Linked DNA regions of Coturnix japonica. The protein of the gene in region 1 purifies or fractionates together with the protein of each later gene. This does not show direct contact. Links are inferred from orthologs where the notes say so. Each region holds a gene or a part of one and is shown in the gene's direction. Other genes may lie near its edges.

Region 1 (3,670 bases):
TTCACTGTGATGCCTGTTTTCTGCGAGTGCTGCCTCTGCACATGGTCAATAGCAGGGTGCTTTCTTCTTAGGCTCGTTCAGCAGGCTGAACAGCTGATCCAGGCTTTGAACTCTGGTCAACCCCTACATTAAACAGAGACATTAACTGTATTGTTTATTTTCATGTTGGTTTTTTTCCTCACGGTGGATGACTGTGAATAAAGGGCCCAAAGCAAAACTGTGGTTTCTGTCATCTTAGCAGCGTTTGTAAGATCCTCTTTCTGTCCTTCAATTACAAACCTCCCATCAAAATTAAAATCTGACCTTTTCTTTCTTTGCAAAAGGGAGCCTGAAGAACGTGGTGGTGGTTCTGGGATACTGCTACAAGAGCGACACCGAAGATGACAAATATCACAAAGGTACCTGAACTGTGCTTTATTAATTTGTATTATTAGTGAAGCAGAAACTATGACGCTCGGCCACCCTCTGAGGTGTGTTTGGAGAGCTGGCGATCAACATTTGATCTACTCTTTTGAAAATTATTATTCGTTTTTGTCATTGGTTATGTTTCTGGGCTCCATACAAACAATTCAGTTGCCTGAATTGATCGGATGAAGCTACTCTTTGGAGGGCACATAATTTTCTAGAAAACTCTATTTGGAGAATAACTGCCCATGTCTAATTGTGGAGCGTGTCAAACGGGTTTCGAGAGGGGCCTCCAGGAATACTCAGTGTTATGGTGAATGATGTGGATGAAGGAATAACGCGTCTGCTTTTCATGTTGGCAGACAGCACTTAGCTCAGAGGAGCCACGAGCACAGTGGAGGACAGGACCGGAATTCACTGCAACCTTGACAGATAGAACAAATGGTCTGGAAGGAATAGGATACAGTTCAGTAAGGACAGATGTGAGACCTCAAACGTAATTAGGAGGGATCAGCTGTACCAACAGGAGGAAATGGTCGGCTTAAGCAGTGGTGCTGAAAATAAGGTTTATTTTGATCACACGTGGAACATGAGTCAACAGCGTCATGTTCCTGCAGAAGGGACAAAAACCTTTCTTATGCCAATAGAAAAGTGGCTTCTCTAAGACATGGGAATTAATTCCTGTGCTCTGCTGAGCTCTGATAAGACCTCTGCTGCAGGAGTGCATCCATCTGGGACAATGCTGAATGATCTGAACTATTAGGAATAGTCCAGAGGAGAGAAATGCGGCCTCTGGGAAAATGCTGAAGATAAATTACTTAATATTAGGAAAGCATCCAACAGATATGATAACAGGCTTCAAATATGTAAATAAAGAGGAAGGGAATAATACTTCAACATGTTATTCCCTGTGGGCAGGATAAAGGCTAAGCAGTTTCTATTACAGCGAGGGAAATTTAGGTCACACATCAGGAAGAGCTTCCTGACAATTAGGATAGCGAGTACTGGAATAGGAAGATAAAATCTCCATCTTTGATTTGTTTTGCTTTTTTCCTAAGAACAGTTACAACTGATGCTCACACTGATGCCCTTCTTCAGCAAGACCACTTCTGTTCACACAGTAATTTGCTCTGTTGCACTGTCTTTTTTTTCCCCCAGAATTACAGTCCTGTGTGTCAGTGTGGGACATTAACCTCCCCCACGAAGTGCAAAACCTGAAGAAACATATAGAAGTGAGACAGGAACTAGCTGAAAAAATGAAAAGCTTCACTTTGGACTGAAAAACCCTTTCAAGTGCCATTCTCTTTTCTAGACTTGTATCCTAACTCACCGTGCAATATTCACAGCCTCTTGTTGCTGGGCTCCTTAACCCAAACCAGGAAAGAAATCTTCCCAAGTCATTGTGTACTGAGAAGAAAGAAGGGTGTTATTCATAATGTTTGAAAGGACAGAAAATCATTAAGAGTTTCATAATCTGAAGCATTATCACGTGTCTGTTTACTCATGAAGTTCTGCACGGAGGAGCTGCGGCTCGACTTCAGGATAACTTTGTTCATCCAGTTTTTAGTCCCTCTTAAATTGGAAATCAGCCAGGAGACTGAAAACGGCTCTGATTTACTTCAGTATCTCTACTGAGTTGACACCGGAGTAAGAAGCAAAGCTGAAGGCTCTGTTTCCTTATTGCAGTCTGTAAGCATGAGTTTTCTCTGATGATTCATGTTTTATTCATGTCCGAGCTCTTGACCTCAGCCAAACAAAGGAAAACATTATATTTTATACAAATAATTGAACTTAAGGAGCATTCAGACTTCTCACGAGGAGCAGCGCAATGGGCAGATTACAGCCTTTGCTTCTTCTATGAGAAGTTGACATCTTCCATTGCAAACAGAAAACCAAACTGTGCTAAAATAATACAATTCCTCTGAATTCCAAATTGAATTACGCTGACCAGCCCTGCACCTTGGTGCCTTCTTGCAATTGTGCAGCCTGCCTCGTTCTGAGCAATGGAGTCATGGAGTCAAGAACATTCCCATCCACGTACATCTATTGCACAGCTCACTTCTAAAAGCCATGGGAAGGAACAGAGAGGAAACTCCTGCTGGAAAGGCTGCTACCGCTCGTACCACAAAGAAGGAAGCGTGCTGCAGAATCTTGGTGCAGCTTGCCTTGTGTGCCTCCATTCCATCCATCAGAAGACAGAGCTCATTTTCTTGTTGCGATACCAAAAGAATCCATAGAGTTCTCCTGAAATCCCTGCACGGAGAACACAGAACCACTCCAGAGTTTATTGTCCGGAGCAGCAGGGTCAGCAGCACCCTGTGGGCTCCCAGTTTTGAAGAACTTCTGTACGTGGACAGCAGCAGCTGCCGAGCCCAGCTGTGTCACTGTCCCATTTGCTGCCTCTCGTGGTGTGTGGACTCAGGATTCCTTTCAGATCTGTACCCCCATTTTTTATGCGTCCTTGTATTCTGCACCCAGAAGATAATTTGCTATTTATATGGATTTTGTAACTCAGAAAATATATATTATTATAATGAATACATTTAAAAAAGAGATGCTATGTAATGCAGTTACGTTTATTTATGAGTCATTTTGAGATGTAAGCTTTCTACCTTTTTATTAAAGCTGTGCTTTGTTAATGACAGTCCATTTGCTCATTGCTCTGTTTCCAGGGAGGAGCTTTTGTTGCACTTGATCCCTTATTTCTACTCTTGTATTTGTGGCCCTGGGGAGGAGAAGCATTGTCCTGAGAGGGCCTGGTAGCCTGGTGCACTGGAGGAGGTGACCGCAGGCAGTGCTGGCCACCTCACTATTGATCCGTCGGAAGATCACTGAGAAAGAACCCAGCACAGACTGAACCTGGCCTAAGGGGTGAGTGTTACAGGGCTCACAGAGCCAACAGCAGCCAACCAAGACAGGAGGTCGCCACAAACACAGCTCAGCTGGGGGACCGGCCTCCCCTCCCAGCTGCAATGCGCTCAGCACAGCACAAGCCCTGTCGGATATGATGCTGCCTGCTTACTCAGGATAACATCCAGCATCTGAAAACTGAAGATAATCTTCTACTTCAAGAAAAGCCTCTCTGCCCATTGGAAACAAGCTGCACGGCTGGGCTGGAAGTTAACACCTGAGCTGGAAGTTAACACCTGAGCTCAACATTTAATTTAGCCCGTGTTGCTCAGAGCCACGCAGCTGAAGGACGTTCAGCTCTACACCTATGGCAGCAAACTGCGCAGAGGGAGCCAAATACTTAAAGGGTTGTTGA
Region 2 (4,614 bases), on another chromosome or scaffold:
ATGCACCAAGGAGGAGGAGAGATGCAACTGCTCCACACACTGTATGCTATTGCAGCTTGAACTGATGCTATGCTAGCTGCTTCTCGGTGCTGGATAACCACTTTAAGATAAACCACTCGCAGAGGGAATGAAAACTGAGACAGGTACAAATGGTATCTTCAGAACATGAAGAAAGCTCAGATTGGATTTCTTTTTAAAGTAACTTGTGCTAAGAAGTCATCAGAAAATGGTAAGCAGACTGGATAGACAACGTGCAAGCGTTCCAACTGGAATCTCCTCTTCAGTGATGGTGTGTGGATGTGGCATTCTGCAGGTGCAGCGTTAGCCTCTGTTCATTCACACTCCAGAATCCACTCTTCTGTTTTTGAGACTTATTCATTTTGTTCACATCTTTGGCACAGCAATGAAAATGTGCTGCTGCTGTTGTGTTTTAGACCGTAATACACTGGAATGACAATCTTGTAAACTTCGGTGCTTGCTGGGAATCTTTGTCCCTTTCTCCTGTGTACCTGAGTTATTTCAGAGCCACGAGCCTTACGATGTTTTCCACTATTCTTAAAGTTCTATTTTTATGCTAAACTGCTTCTCAGACCCTTGTGCTGCTCAGACCTTGCCTGCAGAAGAGCACCGTGTACACATCCTCTCACTTTCCCTCTTGAACTTCTGCACTCTGGGACCCACAGCCCTTCCTTAGGTTGGGAACTTAGCACAACCTCCAGGTTCTCACTGGTGCCACTGCAGTTAAATAGGCCTCTCACCAGGCCAGGGCCCTTTCAGGAAACATAATACCATTACCTGAGATAATTGTAAGACCTGCTTTGCACTCTTAACACTGATGTACCCTACAGCTGAGCTCTTGTATCTCCAGTAATGGGCTTGCTGTGCACTGCTACAGTGGCTGGTTTTCTTCTGACAGAGAAGCACAGATATTGATAGCAGAACTCAGGGTGACAGGGAGCAGTTCTTGTGGCTTCTGAGTCACGTGGAGGCTGTGTGAGTATTTCTGGCTCTCATCAACCTGCCTAGTGAACATGTTTCTCTTTGCCTCGGTTTCCCTATCTTTGTAAAGCGTCATTAACAATATTGACATTTATTTGATGTGTGTAAATAAGGAAATACGACTTGTGAGCGAGTTGGGAAGAACTGGTTTCTGAGCCGTGCTTTTACATGGACTTTTTGTGTTTGTTTTTACTGACGTTGTATTTCTAAATAGATGTTAAAGATGGGATGATGGGTGCATATAAATGTTAACTCGCCTCTTGAAACTTCATGAGACTCAAGCGAGTCAAAAAGGTACCTCTCACTTGTTTGTGGGATGCCACTGTCCCCTCTGTATTACAGTTTACTCCTGAGGCCTATAAACCATTCATTAACTTTGTATCAGCCAAGCCTCTCAGCTGTGTGATTGCATCTGCTTAGAAGGGAGAGCTGGGAGCTGCAGGCTGCTGAGTCTGAGATCACGGAGCAGGTCCTGGAAGAGATATTAAGGCACGTGGGAGACGCGGCTGTTAATGGAGCCACGCACAGGGCTCCATGCGGGCTGTGTGTGCAGTCATGCCCCGCACAGGGCTCTATCCCGGCTGTGTGTGCAGTCATGCCCCGCACAGGGCTCTATCCCGGCTGTGTGTGCACTCATGCCCCGCACAGGGCTCTATCCCGGCTGTGTGTGCACTCATACCCCGCACAGGGCTCTATGCGGGCTGTGTGTGCAGTCATGTCCCGCACAGGGCTCTATCCCGGCTGTGTGTGCAGTCATGCCCCGCACTCAGCTCCATCCCTCCGGTGTCTCCCGCCGGTTCCCGTCGCTCCGCGCCACCCGGTGGTCCTAAGCCCCGCCCCCTGCGGCGGCCCCGCCCCCTCCCGCAGCCAATGGGCGTGTGGAACGCGGCGGCGCGTTGCCGTGGCGCGCCCCCGCCCACGTGTGTTCCGCCGCCCGTATATAACGCGGCCATTTCGGCCCCGCTCCCGCCTCGCTGCCGCAGCGCCGCCTCCCCCGTCGCGTTCCGCCCGGCCTCTCCTCGCCGCCTCCCGCCATGGCCGACGCGGTCGTGTCCTTCCTCAAGGATTTCCTCGCCGGGGGGGTGGCGGCCGCCATCTCCAAGACCGCCGTCGCCCCCATCGAGCGGGTGAAGCTGCTGCTGCAGGTGAGCGGCGGGACGGGGGCGGCGGGCGTTCCAAGGTCGTCAAGGAGAGGGGGGCTGCGGGGCGGCGGGCGGGCGCTCTGACGGCGCTGCTGGTGCTGCTGGTGCTGATAGTGCTGCTGGTGCTGTGTCCCCCGCAGGTGCAGCACGCCAGCAAGCAGATCTCCGCCGACAAGCAGTACAAGGGCATCATCGACTGCGTGGTGCGCATCCCGCGCGAGCAGGGCGTCCTGTCCTTCTGGCGGGGTAACCTGGCCAACGTGATCCGGTACTTCCCCACCCAAGCGCTCAACTTCGCCTTCAAGGACAAGTACAAGCAGATCTTCCTGGGCGGCGTGGACAAGCGCACCCAGTTCTGGCGATACTTCGCGGGGAACCTGGCGTCCGGCGGCGCTGCCGGCGCTACCTCGCTCTGCTTCGTGTACCCCCTTGACTTCGCCCGGACCCGCCTGGCCGCCGACGTGGGTAAAGCCGGGGCCGACCGCGAGTTCAGCGGCCTCGGTGACTGCCTGGTGAAGATCTTCCGCTCGGATGGCCTCAAGGGCCTGTACCAGGGCTTCAACGTGTCCGTCCAGGGCATCATCATCTACAGAGCCGCCTACTTCGGCATCTACGATACCGCGAAGGGTAGGTGGGGTGGCACGGCGCTCCCGTGGAGCTGTGGGCCCTTAGCCCTGCACTGTGCGTGATGCCGGTTCGCCTGCTGATGTCACACAGAGCCTCTCTCCCGCAGGAATGCTCCCCGACCCAAAGAACACCCACATCGTGGTCAGCTGGATGATCGCTCAGTCGGTCACCGCGGTGGCCGGTTTGGTCTCCTATCCCTTCGATACAGTTCGGCGCCGCATGATGATGCAGTCCGGCCGTAAAGGAAGTAAGTCGCTCCCTCCCTCCTTGTGTTAGGGGCTGGTGGGCATCCCTGAATCAACAGCTGGCAGTGGGTCTGTGCTGGGGGCAGGAGTGTGTGCTGCCCTTCACCAAGGCCTTTAAATTCCTTCTCCTCTTGTAAACTGCAGGATATGAGGGGACTGCAGAAGCAGCTGTCAGGTGGGGGCAAATAGATTGGCTTTGTGGCATCCCTGTAAGGGGAACATGCAGGTTGGGTTTGTTCAGTAAGAAGGAATGGCAGAGCTTGCCTGAGGATGTTGAAACTCATGTCTCTGGGCTAAGAAGGGTTGTCCTTCAGTGCAGGCACGGCCTGGCTGACTGCAGTAGCTTTTGGGACTGGAAGTTTTGGTGTCTAGGAAACAGTAGCTGCCTTCTGCTCAGACTGGTCCTTCCAGTGTCTCCTGGGGGTAACACAAGCCTGGGCGATCTCATCGTCTAAAAGTAAGTCAAGAAATGGATACATGAGGTTGTACAACTGCCAGATACGTTAGGTGGGTTCTGACTTGGACTTTGGGGGTCATAGGCAGCAGGTTTCTAACACTGTCTGTTCCCACAGCTGACATAATGTACAGTGGCACTCTTGACTGCTGGCGGAAGATTGCCCGGGACGAGGGCTCCAAGGCGTTTTTCAAAGGTGCATGGTCGAATGTGCTCCGAGGAATGGGTGGTGCTTTCGTCTTAGTGCTGTATGATGAAATTAAGAAGTACACATAAGTTATTTCTTGTTCTGAAGTGGCATGTTGTAATATGTTATCTATGACCATTCATGGACTTGTATGAAAACTGTCTAGTTACTAACAGTAACGGATGATATTTATACAGGTTGGCATGGGGCAGGGACAACCTCCTGCCTCGTCTTTATCAAATCATTCCCACTGCTGGGACTCAAACATGGTTTCTATTTCAGTCACTCCTGTTTAAAGAGTACAAAGAAATAAAAATCCGATGCCAGCTTTCTTTGTCTCATGGTTGTTCTCATAGCAGCTGCAGTGTGAGGGGCCAGGGACCTCTGTGATTGTAGAGGGGGAAGGCAGAGCCCTGCATGACCCACTGACTGTGGGCTCCAGCACGTGAATGCAGTGCAGCCTGCTGAGAGAGTGTTTCCAGCCTGGTGGAGGTCAGCAGTGAGTGCTGGTGGTAACTAAGGGACATGTGCTGGCCTTGTGCCACCAGTCCTGCCTTGGGGCTGTGTGTTCCATGGGGCTGATGAAGGCTCTTTTCAGAACCTTTTCCTGCAAAGCACCCACTGGACTAAACATCTGGGGACTGGAGGGAAGTCGTAAGGAGTATCCACAGCAGCCTGGAAGAGCGGAGCTGGCGTCACATGTTCTGGCTTAGAAACTGAACTCCCTACTTGGGCATGTTAAAACTCAGCCAGAGAAAATAAGTGTGGGTAATTGCTGCTCTTTCTGCAAAGCCCCTGGCTAGGCTTGCCATTGCATGGAGGTGTTGGGCTGCTGGGTTGAGGTCAGAAGATGCCTGTCTACCTGCTGGGCCTGCCCTGCCTGCCCTGTGAGAACTAAGCTGCTCCCAGTCTCACATTTGGGGGAAATTCTTTCCCGCTGATGGGGTAATTTGGGGAAAA
Region 3 (4,873 bases), on another chromosome or scaffold:
TGAAACCTCTGGCAAGCTTCTTCCTGTAGGCAGACTGAATTCGATGCACTTCCTTGGCAGTGCAAAAACAACCCATATTCTCTTTGTCAGCCAGGCTGATGCTTTCCCCACTGTCAAGAGATGTGGGATTTTGAGATTGCAGTTGTGCATGGGGAAAGGCACGGAGCAGAGAAACACAAAACACTCGCTGAGCCTCTCTGGGCGTTGGAATCACATTGTGCAGGCAGTATCTCTGTGTAGCAGGGTCTGAGCTCTGCTCCCTGCCACGCACAGAAAGGTAGAGGTGTGAGCCATGGCAGGGGTCCTGCCTGGACACCATGTCAGATCAAACCTCACAGGTCAGTGCTGCTTTTGAAGCTCCTCTTTGGTCACGACAGTATTAAATTTATTTTGTGTGTGGCAGGAGAAAAAAAAGCATGTCTGAGAGCACAGGAAACCTTGACAACCTGGCACTTGCTGAATATGAATTCTGTTCCTCTGCTTTTTTTTAATCCCCTCTCTTAAAAGCTGCCAGAGGAAACAGGTCCTTTGCTCTGTGCAGGTTACAAAGAGCAGTTGTTGTTATGCAGCAGAACCAAAAATAAAAGTGGGTGATTCTGCAGTCCTATGGAAACTCAGATTAAAGCAGGGCAGTGTTAACCTGTTCCTTGCCAGGGGACAGCACTGTCCAGCCAACCCATCTAGGGGATGGCAAGTTATGATAAACAGCACAATTGTTCCCCTCTACCCACAATGAGTTCAGCTCAGCTTTAGTCCCACTGTGTACAGCCAAGTGAAACCCACTGATGCCTTTGCAAATCATGCTGGTGGAGTGGGGACCCAAAGAAGTGCCTACAGTGGCAGATGCCTGGATCTTCTCTGCCTGGCTCTGCAACCTCTTGTGGGGGACACATTGTGCTTCCAGAGCTGAAAGGTTTGAGGAGACCTGGGGAGAGGCAAGAGGGGAAAGAAGAACAAGGAGGGTTGTACCTGAGTTTTCCAGGAAGGCAGAAAATCTTTTTCTGCAGTGGCTGGCCTTGCTTCCTGAAGGAAACAGTCCATGTCCTTCCATCAGATGAGTCCCCTCTAGTTGCACTGTGAGTGGGTGAGTGGCTGTGTCCCCTTGCCCCAGCATGTCCACACATGGGGATGTTGGTCCTGGGACGATGCTCAGACAAATAAACCCCACAGTGCACGGAGTCTCCTTCCAGAATAGCTGCTGAACAATCAGGAACCAGCATTCTGGAGACAGCTTTGTCTCCATGTTCTGAATTTCCAGGTTGAAAGCAGTCCATCTCATTAGCACTAGCATCTCATATTTTACTGACCTCTGGTTGGCATCTTCTTCTCACTTTAGGTAACAGGTCTGATTGTGATAACAAGCTTCTCTCATTTTCAGGCACGTGCACACCTCAGACATGTCTGGGCATTTGATCACAACTCCATTTCATTGCCATTTCTGTATACACGGTGTGCTTGTTAGCCTTGTGCTCTATTATCCTTTCCTCAGCAGTGTGATGTCAATGACCATCATCCCAAGAGCTCACCAGGGAGCTGGGAGCTGGCTGATGGGAGGGCTGGCTTGGTGAAGACCCATTATCAGGGTGAGGACCACCAGGAGACTTTGCACATCTCTCTCGTGTTACAGAGCATGAGTTCAGCCTGTGCCCTGGAAGCAAGGACCTGATGTCACGGGCTCGCACAGCACCTCCATGCACAGCTTTCTGTGCTCAGGTTGGTCGTTACTGCCGTTTTTTTGTTAAACCCTGCATGGAATTTAATGAAGAAGGAGGAGGGGATGGCAGCCGTGTTTGGCCGCAGATCTGAGCCCCCGGAGCTCCTCTCCCCTGGGCCTCGCAGTGCAGGCCCCGGCCCTGCTCCTCGTTGTCGTGGCGACGCGGTGGCGGCTGCGGGCGGGGAGGGCCCAACGGTGACGGGCGGGGAGTCCGCCCCGCTCTTCCTGCGCTGAGCGCGGCCACAGAGGGCAGAGCTGAGCCGAGCCGCTCCGAGCAGCACCGAGCCGAGCCGGAGGGAGGGGAGCTCCGTACCCCGCTTCACACCGGCTTCGGGCCCCGGCGGGAGCCCGCCGCTGCCAGCCCGGTAAGTGCGAGCCCCCAGTTCGATGATCACCACCGCCCAGCCCGCAGGGTGTCCGCCGATCTCCTGCAGCGGGCCCATGGCTACGGATCGCCCCGCGCCTCCCCATCGCGGGGACACGTGTGCTGCGGGGCGGCCGCTGCTCTATGGAGCCGTTCCGTGCTGCTCTATGGGGCCGTTCCGTGCTGCTCTATGGGGCCGTTTCGTGCTGCTCTATGGGGCCGTTCCGTGCTGCTCTATGGAGCCGTTCCGTGCTGCTCTATGGAGCCGTTCCGTGCTGCTCTATGGAAGCCGTTCCGTGCTGCTCTATGGAGCCGTTCCGTGCTGCTCTATGGGGCCGTTCCGTGCTGCTCTATGGGGCCGTTCCGTGCTGCTCGCTGCGCCGTAGCTGGGACGGGCGGGTCGGCCTCCGTTCCACGCTGAGCTCCTTCCTAAGCCGGCTCTTGGAGGTAGGTCAAGGTTATTACCGCGGATGGGAGCGTGGAAGTGTGGATAGTTTCTGGGGTTTCCTCAAGGTCACCCCTGGAATGGGAGACCCCCAGCATCCTCTCATCCTCTGCACCCTGCGGATCTGCTCGGCTCGTGGGAATTGGATTTTCCAGTGCCCCAGGCCTCTCTGCTGCAGGGGGTTCGACATGTGTTTCCTGCGCCCTGCCACGCTGTCAGTCTGACAAGCATCAGAGCAGGATGCCAGCTCTACGTTTGGCCTAAAATCTCAGTTTCTTTGAACTCTCTGGCAAAGGCTGAGCTGCTTGCTGACACCTCTAGGCTGGCTTTGCCACGAGGATCTGACCTGTCACACTGTGACTGCCAGGGATGGAAGCTGCAGTGATTCTGATCCACTGCATGCTGTTGGTTTACGCCTCCTAAGTGCTCTTCTTGGCAGTGGCAAGCAAAAGGCAATCAAACCAGAATGGTGCTGGGCTGATAACAGCGCATCGTGTGGGGTTGGCTTGCAGTTGTTCTCTCGGTCGTAGGTTGTTTTGCTTTTCCTTTCTACAGTGACCTGAAAGAAGGTTGCAGAGAGGTGGGTCTTGGCCTTTTCTCTCAGGTAACAGTGATAGAATGAGAGGGAATGGCCCCAGGTTGCACCAGGTGAGGTTCAGGTTGGCTATTAGGAAACATCTCTGAAAGAGCAGCGATGCACTGACACAGGCTGACCATGAAGTCACCATCCCTGGAGGTGTTCAGGAAACATGGAGACTGTTGGGGGTGATGATGGGTTGGTGGTTGGACTAGATGATCCTAGCGGTCTTTTCCAACCTAATTGATTTTGTGATTCTTTGGTGCTGAGTCCCTGGGCTTGTTTATTTACAGCATGTTGGTCACAAGGAGATGTGCTGTGTTCTGAGGTCAGCACTCCGGGCAGGGATGGATGGCTGTGCTGGGACACAGAGCATGGTTGGATCATAACTTGGAGCACGACCCTGCTGTGAGGGAACATTCATGGCCTTGTTTGACACCTGGCAGCCTTGCTAATGCCTTAGTAAGAAGCCAGAGCCCTAGAAGATTGTCCCACTGCCACTTTAAGAAGGGATAGCGTGCAATATTGAGTTACACAGAGGTAGGAGTCACTGGCAGCTTGCTAGGGTCATTTGTTCTCCTTCTCCAGCCGCACTCAGGTTAGTGTATGAGATGGGGGAAATACCTACCTGACCTGGCATCCTTGGTTAGAGGACCAATTTTACAGATCCCTTAAGAAAAGCTTTTCCATGAGGGGTAAATCCTGATCAGAGTGCATGATGACTGTATAGTGCTGGGAAAGCAGTTTATTGTATCCTGATGTGCTGGAGTGACTGATGAACTGCTCCTGTGTCTCAGTAAGGAGTGTCAAGGTATGGTGGAGTGCTGCTTTCTCTCCTCTTTGGGTCCCTCCTTTCACCGATGCAGTGTGTGGTGTACTGGGAGAGTCATCCCGACACTGAGGGCTCTGAGAAGCCTGTGCTGAAGTGAGGCAGTGCACCCAGGTTACCAGCAGCTCCTCTTGGCCATGCTGCAGCTACTCAGCCCTGGAAGCAGAGATATGATTAATGGCCGTCTTCAAATTAAGTGCTCGACTGCTTCAGGGCTGGGTTCTAAGTGCTGCAAGTAGTACGGGCAGATCTCCCACGTGCATATCATGTATACAGGGCTCAAATTCCTCAGTGCTCTATTTCGTCACTGAGATGCGTAGCCTTCCTGCTCTTACAGCACACATGAGAGCAGTCTGCAGCCCATGCTCTCGGCCACGACCCCTTTGGCAAGGCCGTTTTGGTGAAGCCATTGTGCTGCTGTCTTTGTTTTCCTTCTTTTGCCAGGTAGGCTTATTTGCAGTGCCCAAGTTCATCCACAGCTTTGCCTTGTTTCCTGCTCTGTCTTGGAGGAATCACATGAGAAGGGACAGGAGGAGAAGAATATAGGTCCTTGTCTCTGCACTGCCTGGTTCTTTACTCATACCTGTGGATGTGCTGCTTGCACACTTTGGCAGAGCAGATGGAGCAGCTCCATGCTGCCTGATAGGCAGGGTGGAGTGGAAACAACTTGTCCTAAGCCACATGCAAACTGAGAGCTGGTTTGGTGCCATATTCAGCGCTCCTTGAATTATGGCAGGTAGAGATTTATGCAGTAAAAAGAGGGAAGTGTGTTTAGAGATATTTCAGCGCTAACCGTGAATTTGGGTTCTGCTTTCTCCCTTGCCACAGACTCAGGCTTAGAGCGTGACTGCGGATAAGTAGAACAAAGTTTGTCTCTGACCCTGCAGTCTACCAGAAAACAGCACTTACACGATCCTGCCACAGTTGCAGAAGATACAATGTGA
Region 4 (4,793 bases), on another chromosome or scaffold:
CACTTTTCACGTGCATGCTCTGAACAATCACTTGTGACAGAACACACAGCACATAACTAGCAAAATCTGAAGTTAAACAGAATTCATAACGTATCTTGAATTGTACAAAGATCTCACTAACCTGTTTCATCTCTCGTTTCCAGACCCTTGGCTTTCAGCCTTGAGTAGATAAATTCTTCTTTTTCCTAAAAGATGGTTTTTCCACATTAGAATTTGAGGCATTCGGTCCTTGAAGTAAACCACTGTTTTTAAATCATGTAACAGCTCAGTGCCTAATACCCTCTGAAATAACAAACAACACTCATTAATATTGGAAACATCAACAAAACATTTACCCAAGCACAGTGACTTAGTGTTAAACCGATAAAGCTCTGTTGCTTAGATCCAGAAGATGGCCATGAGGACAACCAAAGGGCTGGAGCACCTCTCCTATGAAGGAAGACTACAGGAGTTGGGTTTGTTTAGGCTGAGAAGAGAAGGCTCCAGGAAGACCTCACCACAGCCTTCCAGTACTTGAAAGGAGCTTGTAATTGGGAAGGAGACAGACTTTTCTTTGCATAATTTGATAGTGATAAGACAAGGAGGAACAGCTTTAAACTGAAAGAGGGAAGATTTGGGTTAGATGTTAGAAAGAAATTCTCTGCTCAGACAGCAGTGAGGCCCAAACAAACAACAAACAAACAAACTAACAATGAAGACAACACATACCACATAACTGAGCATTTCTGCATTCAGATAAACACGTGGCCTTCAAATCTGTCATTATTTGGATGTGTACAGAACAATTACCTTTTCGTCGAGTTCTCAAACTCAGTTCTACAGAAGTCAGGGAGGATATGGTGATCAAAGCTCAGAAATAACAGTGAATTACTGAATCACTCCCACTCCTCCTAACCTATAGGGTCATAGAAGAGCTTCGGTTGGAAGGTCAGCGAGCTCCAACCCCACTGCTATGGGCTGACTGCCCCTCACCAGACCAGGCTGCCCAGGGCCCCATCCAACTCAGCCCTGAACACCTCCAGGGATGGGGCACCCAATAGTGATAGGACAAGCTACGAGGTTGTGTAAGAAGTCACTCCTACTCCTGTTTATAACCTCTCTTCAAGTACTGGGAGGCTGCAATGAGGTCTCCCCAGACCCTTCTCCTACCTAAACAAGCCCAATTCTTTCAGCTTTCCTTCATAGAAGTGCTCCAGACCTTAAGGTGCAATCGCAAAAGAAAGCACGTGTCCTTGCTTTCAGAATCACACACAGCATCACAGGCTTTCAGCCTTGATAAAAGGTTCAACTGCCAGTGCAGCAGGGCACATCAAAGAACCATCTGAGTTAGAATGGACCCCAAATGCCATTTTCTCCAACCACCCTACAACGAACAGAGACACAGCTCCATCAGGTGCTTCTACAGCAGAGCTTTCCTTGCTTTTTCCCTGCGGCAGCACCGCTTCCAGCAGCCAAACCCCCCCATTCCTCCCGGCCCGATGCCGCCCCCCAGCGGTTCCGGACTGACCGTCCTGAAGGCGGTGTTCTGCCGGGCCCAGAAGCGCTGGTTCCACTCCTGTGTCTCCTCCCGCAGCTCCCGCAGCCGCCGTTCCAGCGGGGTCTCGTGAGGCGACACGTAAAAGATGACGGGGCGGAGGTTAGAGCGCTTGTCTGGGGGCCCGATCCAGTCCCTGCGGGAGCCGGCGGGGGGACAGAACCGCGGCCTCTGTGTTACAAGCGGGACGATCGGCCGCTCCCCGCCGCCGGAGGACACAGTAGAGGAGAAGCATCCATAGCAGCATCCATAGCGGCATCCATAGCGGCAGCCGCCCGCCCTCACGGCCCGCACAACCCCTACAGCCGCCATCCCCGCCGCCGGCCGCGCTTTACGGCGATGTCGCAGCCGAGGGCGGCGCTGCGGGGCGGGGCCGGGCTCAGGGCTCCGAGCCCTTCGCTACCGCTCGGCCGTGGCGCAGCGCCGAGCCGGGCCGCCGTGCCTCAGCCCGGGGGCGGCTGCAGGGTGAGCCGGGAAGGAGGGGGGGAGTGCGGGGAACGCGTCGCTTTCGGCTCCGGAGCGGTGGGAAGGAGCGGCTGTGAGCGGGGAGGGGAGCGCCGTGCTGGGGGGTTCAACCCCGGCTGAAGGAGGGGCGGCTGCGTGCCCGCTGATAGGGGTCGGTGAGACCGTAATATAAAGTTGTAAACACGGGTAACCGATGTGTTCGCTTCGCTCTGCATCGCAGTTCGACTGAAGGTGGATGAGAGCAGAGCATGGATATGGGGAACCAACACCCTGCCATCAAACGGTTGCACGAGATACAGAAGGAAGTGAGAGAGATCGAACAGCAAGTGGCAGTCTTCAGCGGGTTGTCCACGGACCGGGACTACAAGAAGCTGGAGAGATCCCTCACCAAACAGCTGTTTGAGATCGACTCTGTGGACACTGAGGGCAAAGGGGACATCCAGCAGGCCAGGAAACGCGCTGCCCAGGAGACCGAGCGGCTGCTGAAGGAGCTGGAGCAGAACGCCAACCACCCGCGCAGGCTGGAGATCGAGGCCATCTTCAAGGAGGCACAGGCGCTGGTGGAGCGTGAGATCACGCCTTTCTACCAAGGAGGCAACAGCATCAACGAGGAGTTTGAAGAAGGCATCCAGGACATCGTGCTGCGGCTCACCCAGGTGAAGACCGGAGGGAAGGTTTCCTTGCGCAAAGCGAGATATCGCACCCTGACTAAAGTGTGCGCCGTGCAGGAGATCATAGAGAGCTGCGCCAAGAGACAGCTCTCCCTGCCACTCTCTAATGATGCGCATCCTTCTGTCTCCAAAATTAACTCTGTAATGTGTGAGGTGAACAAAGCCAGAGGAACCCTTATTGCGCTTCTGATGGGAGTGAGTAGTAATGATACCTGCAGGCATTTAGCCTGCGTCCTCACAGGCCTCGTCGCTGATTTGGATGCTTTGGATGTCTGCGGTCGCATGGAAATAAGGAATTACAGAAAGGAAGTAGTGGAAGAGATCAATAAATTGCAGAAATACCTGGACTTGGATGAAGAAGCAAATACTACTCATGCTTATGATCTGGCCCAAAATCAGTCCATTCTAAAAATAGAAGAAATACGCAAGAAAATGAAGGAAGTTAATTCTTTGCTTTTAAAAACAGAGAATGCTTCTGATTTGTATTTGGGATCCAAAGCAGAACTGCAGGGATTAATTGCCCAGTTAGATGAAGTGAGTCCGGGAAAAAACCCTTGTATTAGAGAAGCCAGGAGAAGAGCAGTGATAGAAGTACAGACTCTCATAACATACATTGATTTAAAGGAAGCACTTGGAAAAAGGCAAATGTACGCAGAGCAGACTGCTGCAGAACATCAGTCTCATCAAGCAGTTTGGACTGTGCTTGGAAACTTGTCTCAGATTCAGCAGGAGGTGATTTCTTTTGATGGAAATAGAACAGATAAGAACTACATGCGATTGGAAGAACTCCTTACAAAGCAACTTCTTGCACTTGATGCCGTCGACCCACAAGGTGACGAGCGATGTAAGGCTGCCAGAAAGCAAGCAGTAAAGCTTGCACAGAATATCCTTTACTACCTGGACATGAAAACAGATGAATGGGAGTACTGAAGGAAACGTGGCCTGACATAAAATACCATTTTTTTTCCTGCGGCACTTCATGTAGGATGATAGCTACACTGGCAGCACATAGTGAAAGTAGTGTTCTATGCTTGCTTAAATCACGGAGGTTGCATACAAAGTTACCTTGGCTATATGTGTGCTATCCCACGCAGTCACCCACTTGCCATGGCAACTGTCAGTACACCATCAGCAATTCTGGTCACTGCTATAAGCAATGGAATGAGATTCTCTGAAGGAGCAGCTTAAGTGTTGATTGAACGGCTTCTTTTTCTTAATCTGTCTGTGTTTTAATAACCTGGTGTAACATTCAGAGAACGCAAATGTTTCAAAGATGCCGAAAATTCCTTGTGGTGCAGTACTGCAGAGCTGTTTCAAGAAAGCTGGGCGTGAAAATTAGTGTTTAAGCACAAGGCTCCATCCAGCAGCATCGTAGCAGTCTGGATATACTCTTAATGTGCTGCTTTGATGAAAAGTATTAAATGCAAACAAAAAAAAACCAACTTGCTGGCTTTTGGGTTGTGCTTGTTTTATTCCATCCATCACACCTTCTGCTTGCTTAGATCTCTTTAGATTTCCTGCTCGGCAGAAGTACAATGCCAGCTTCAAATTCACATAGGCGAAGCCACTTTTGTATGGCACCTGTGAACTGTCATTTGCAAGAACAGCTTTTCTGCTGGTGGAAACTCTCAAATATTCTTTGCTTTAAGAAGCTGGGACTCAAAGAGGACAATCTGTAGATATTTACTGGCCAGATGAATTGGGTTTTGAGGATTTCACACTGCCATCCATTAGAACCTGAAAACTGCAATGAACTTTTTTTAATGCTACTTAGGGGTCTTTTTAAATTCTGCTGTTCTATCTGGTTTTGACTCGCCTTCCCCTGTTTGATTAGAGCAGAAGTCACTTTGAAGCGGATGAGGATTTTGGATTTATTTTTGTAGTGTTAGGTAGTATAAAGGCATCCCTAATGATGTACGTTTGTGTGATACACGTAGATCTTTCATACTGGTCAGGTGTGGCTTTAGGCATGTCTTGGAAGAGGCTTTTGGCATACGTCTCTCTTTGTAACTCCCTGCTTAATTATAAATGAGCTTTGTAAATCAGCTCGATTGTACTACTTTATGCACTACCTTTTCGTTTGTTGCTGCTAGCACCCATCACATTTCTACTATAGCATGGTT

What was found. Proteins that work in one complex are often made in the same cells at the same time.
Region 2: the proteins of LRRK2 (region 1) and SLC25A5 purify together in Homo sapiens (co-immunoprecipitation; 3 studies listed by IntAct, with this or other methods). This does not show direct contact. The link is inferred for Coturnix japonica from reciprocal best matches to the Homo sapiens genes LRRK2 and SLC25A5.
Region 3: the proteins of LRRK2 (region 1) and SLC25A22 purify together in Homo sapiens (co-immunoprecipitation; 3 studies listed by IntAct, with this or other methods). This does not show direct contact. The link is inferred for Coturnix japonica from reciprocal best matches to the Homo sapiens genes LRRK2 and SLC25A22.
Region 4: the proteins of LRRK2 (region 1) and BAG5 purify together in Homo sapiens (co-immunoprecipitation; 3 studies listed by BioGRID and IntAct, with this or other methods). This does not show direct contact. The link is inferred for Coturnix japonica from reciprocal best matches to the Homo sapiens genes LRRK2 and BAG5.

What each region holds. Positions count from the first base shown.
Region 1 is NC_029516.1:13,454,780-13,458,449, reverse strand, and holds the end of LRRK2 (leucine-rich repeat serine/threonine-protein kinase 2), read left to right. Parts: intron 1-323; coding exon 324-398; intron 399-1,563; coding exon 1,564-1,685; 3' UTR 1,686-3,052; downstream 3,053-3,670. UniProt on the Homo sapiens protein: Serine/threonine-protein kinase which phosphorylates a broad range of proteins involved in multiple processes such as neuronal plasticity, innate immunity, autophagy, and vesicle trafficking.
Region 2 is NC_029519.1:15,436,682-15,441,295, reverse strand, and holds SLC25A5 (ADP/ATP translocase 2), read left to right. Parts: upstream 1-1,935; 5' UTR 1,936-2,033; coding exon 2,034-2,144; intron 2,145-2,281; coding exon 2,282-2,768; intron 2,769-2,874; coding exon 2,875-3,015; intron 3,016-3,585; coding exon 3,586-3,743; 3' UTR 3,744-3,985; downstream 3,986-4,614.
Region 3 is NC_029520.1:8,824,233-8,829,105, reverse strand, and holds the start of SLC25A22 (mitochondrial glutamate carrier 1), read left to right. Parts: upstream 1-1,944; 5' UTR 1,945-2,079; intron 2,080-4,873. UniProt on the Homo sapiens protein: Mitochondrial glutamate/H(+) symporter. Responsible for the transport of glutamate from the cytosol into the mitochondrial matrix with the concomitant import of a proton. Plays a role in the control of glucose-stimulated insulin secretion.
Region 4 is NC_029520.1:45,843,920-45,848,712, reverse strand, and holds the start of BAG5 (BAG family molecular chaperone regulator 5), read left to right. Parts: upstream 1-1,864; 5' UTR 1,865-1,999; intron 2,000-2,219; 5' UTR 2,220-2,247; coding exon 2,248-3,600; 3' UTR 3,601-4,793. Other genes in the region: cytochrome c oxidase assembly factor 8, read right to left, coding at 122-185, 1,508-1,846. UniProt on the Homo sapiens protein: Co-chaperone for HSP/HSP70 proteins. It functions as a nucleotide-exchange factor promoting the release of ADP from HSP70, thereby activating HSP70-mediated protein refolding.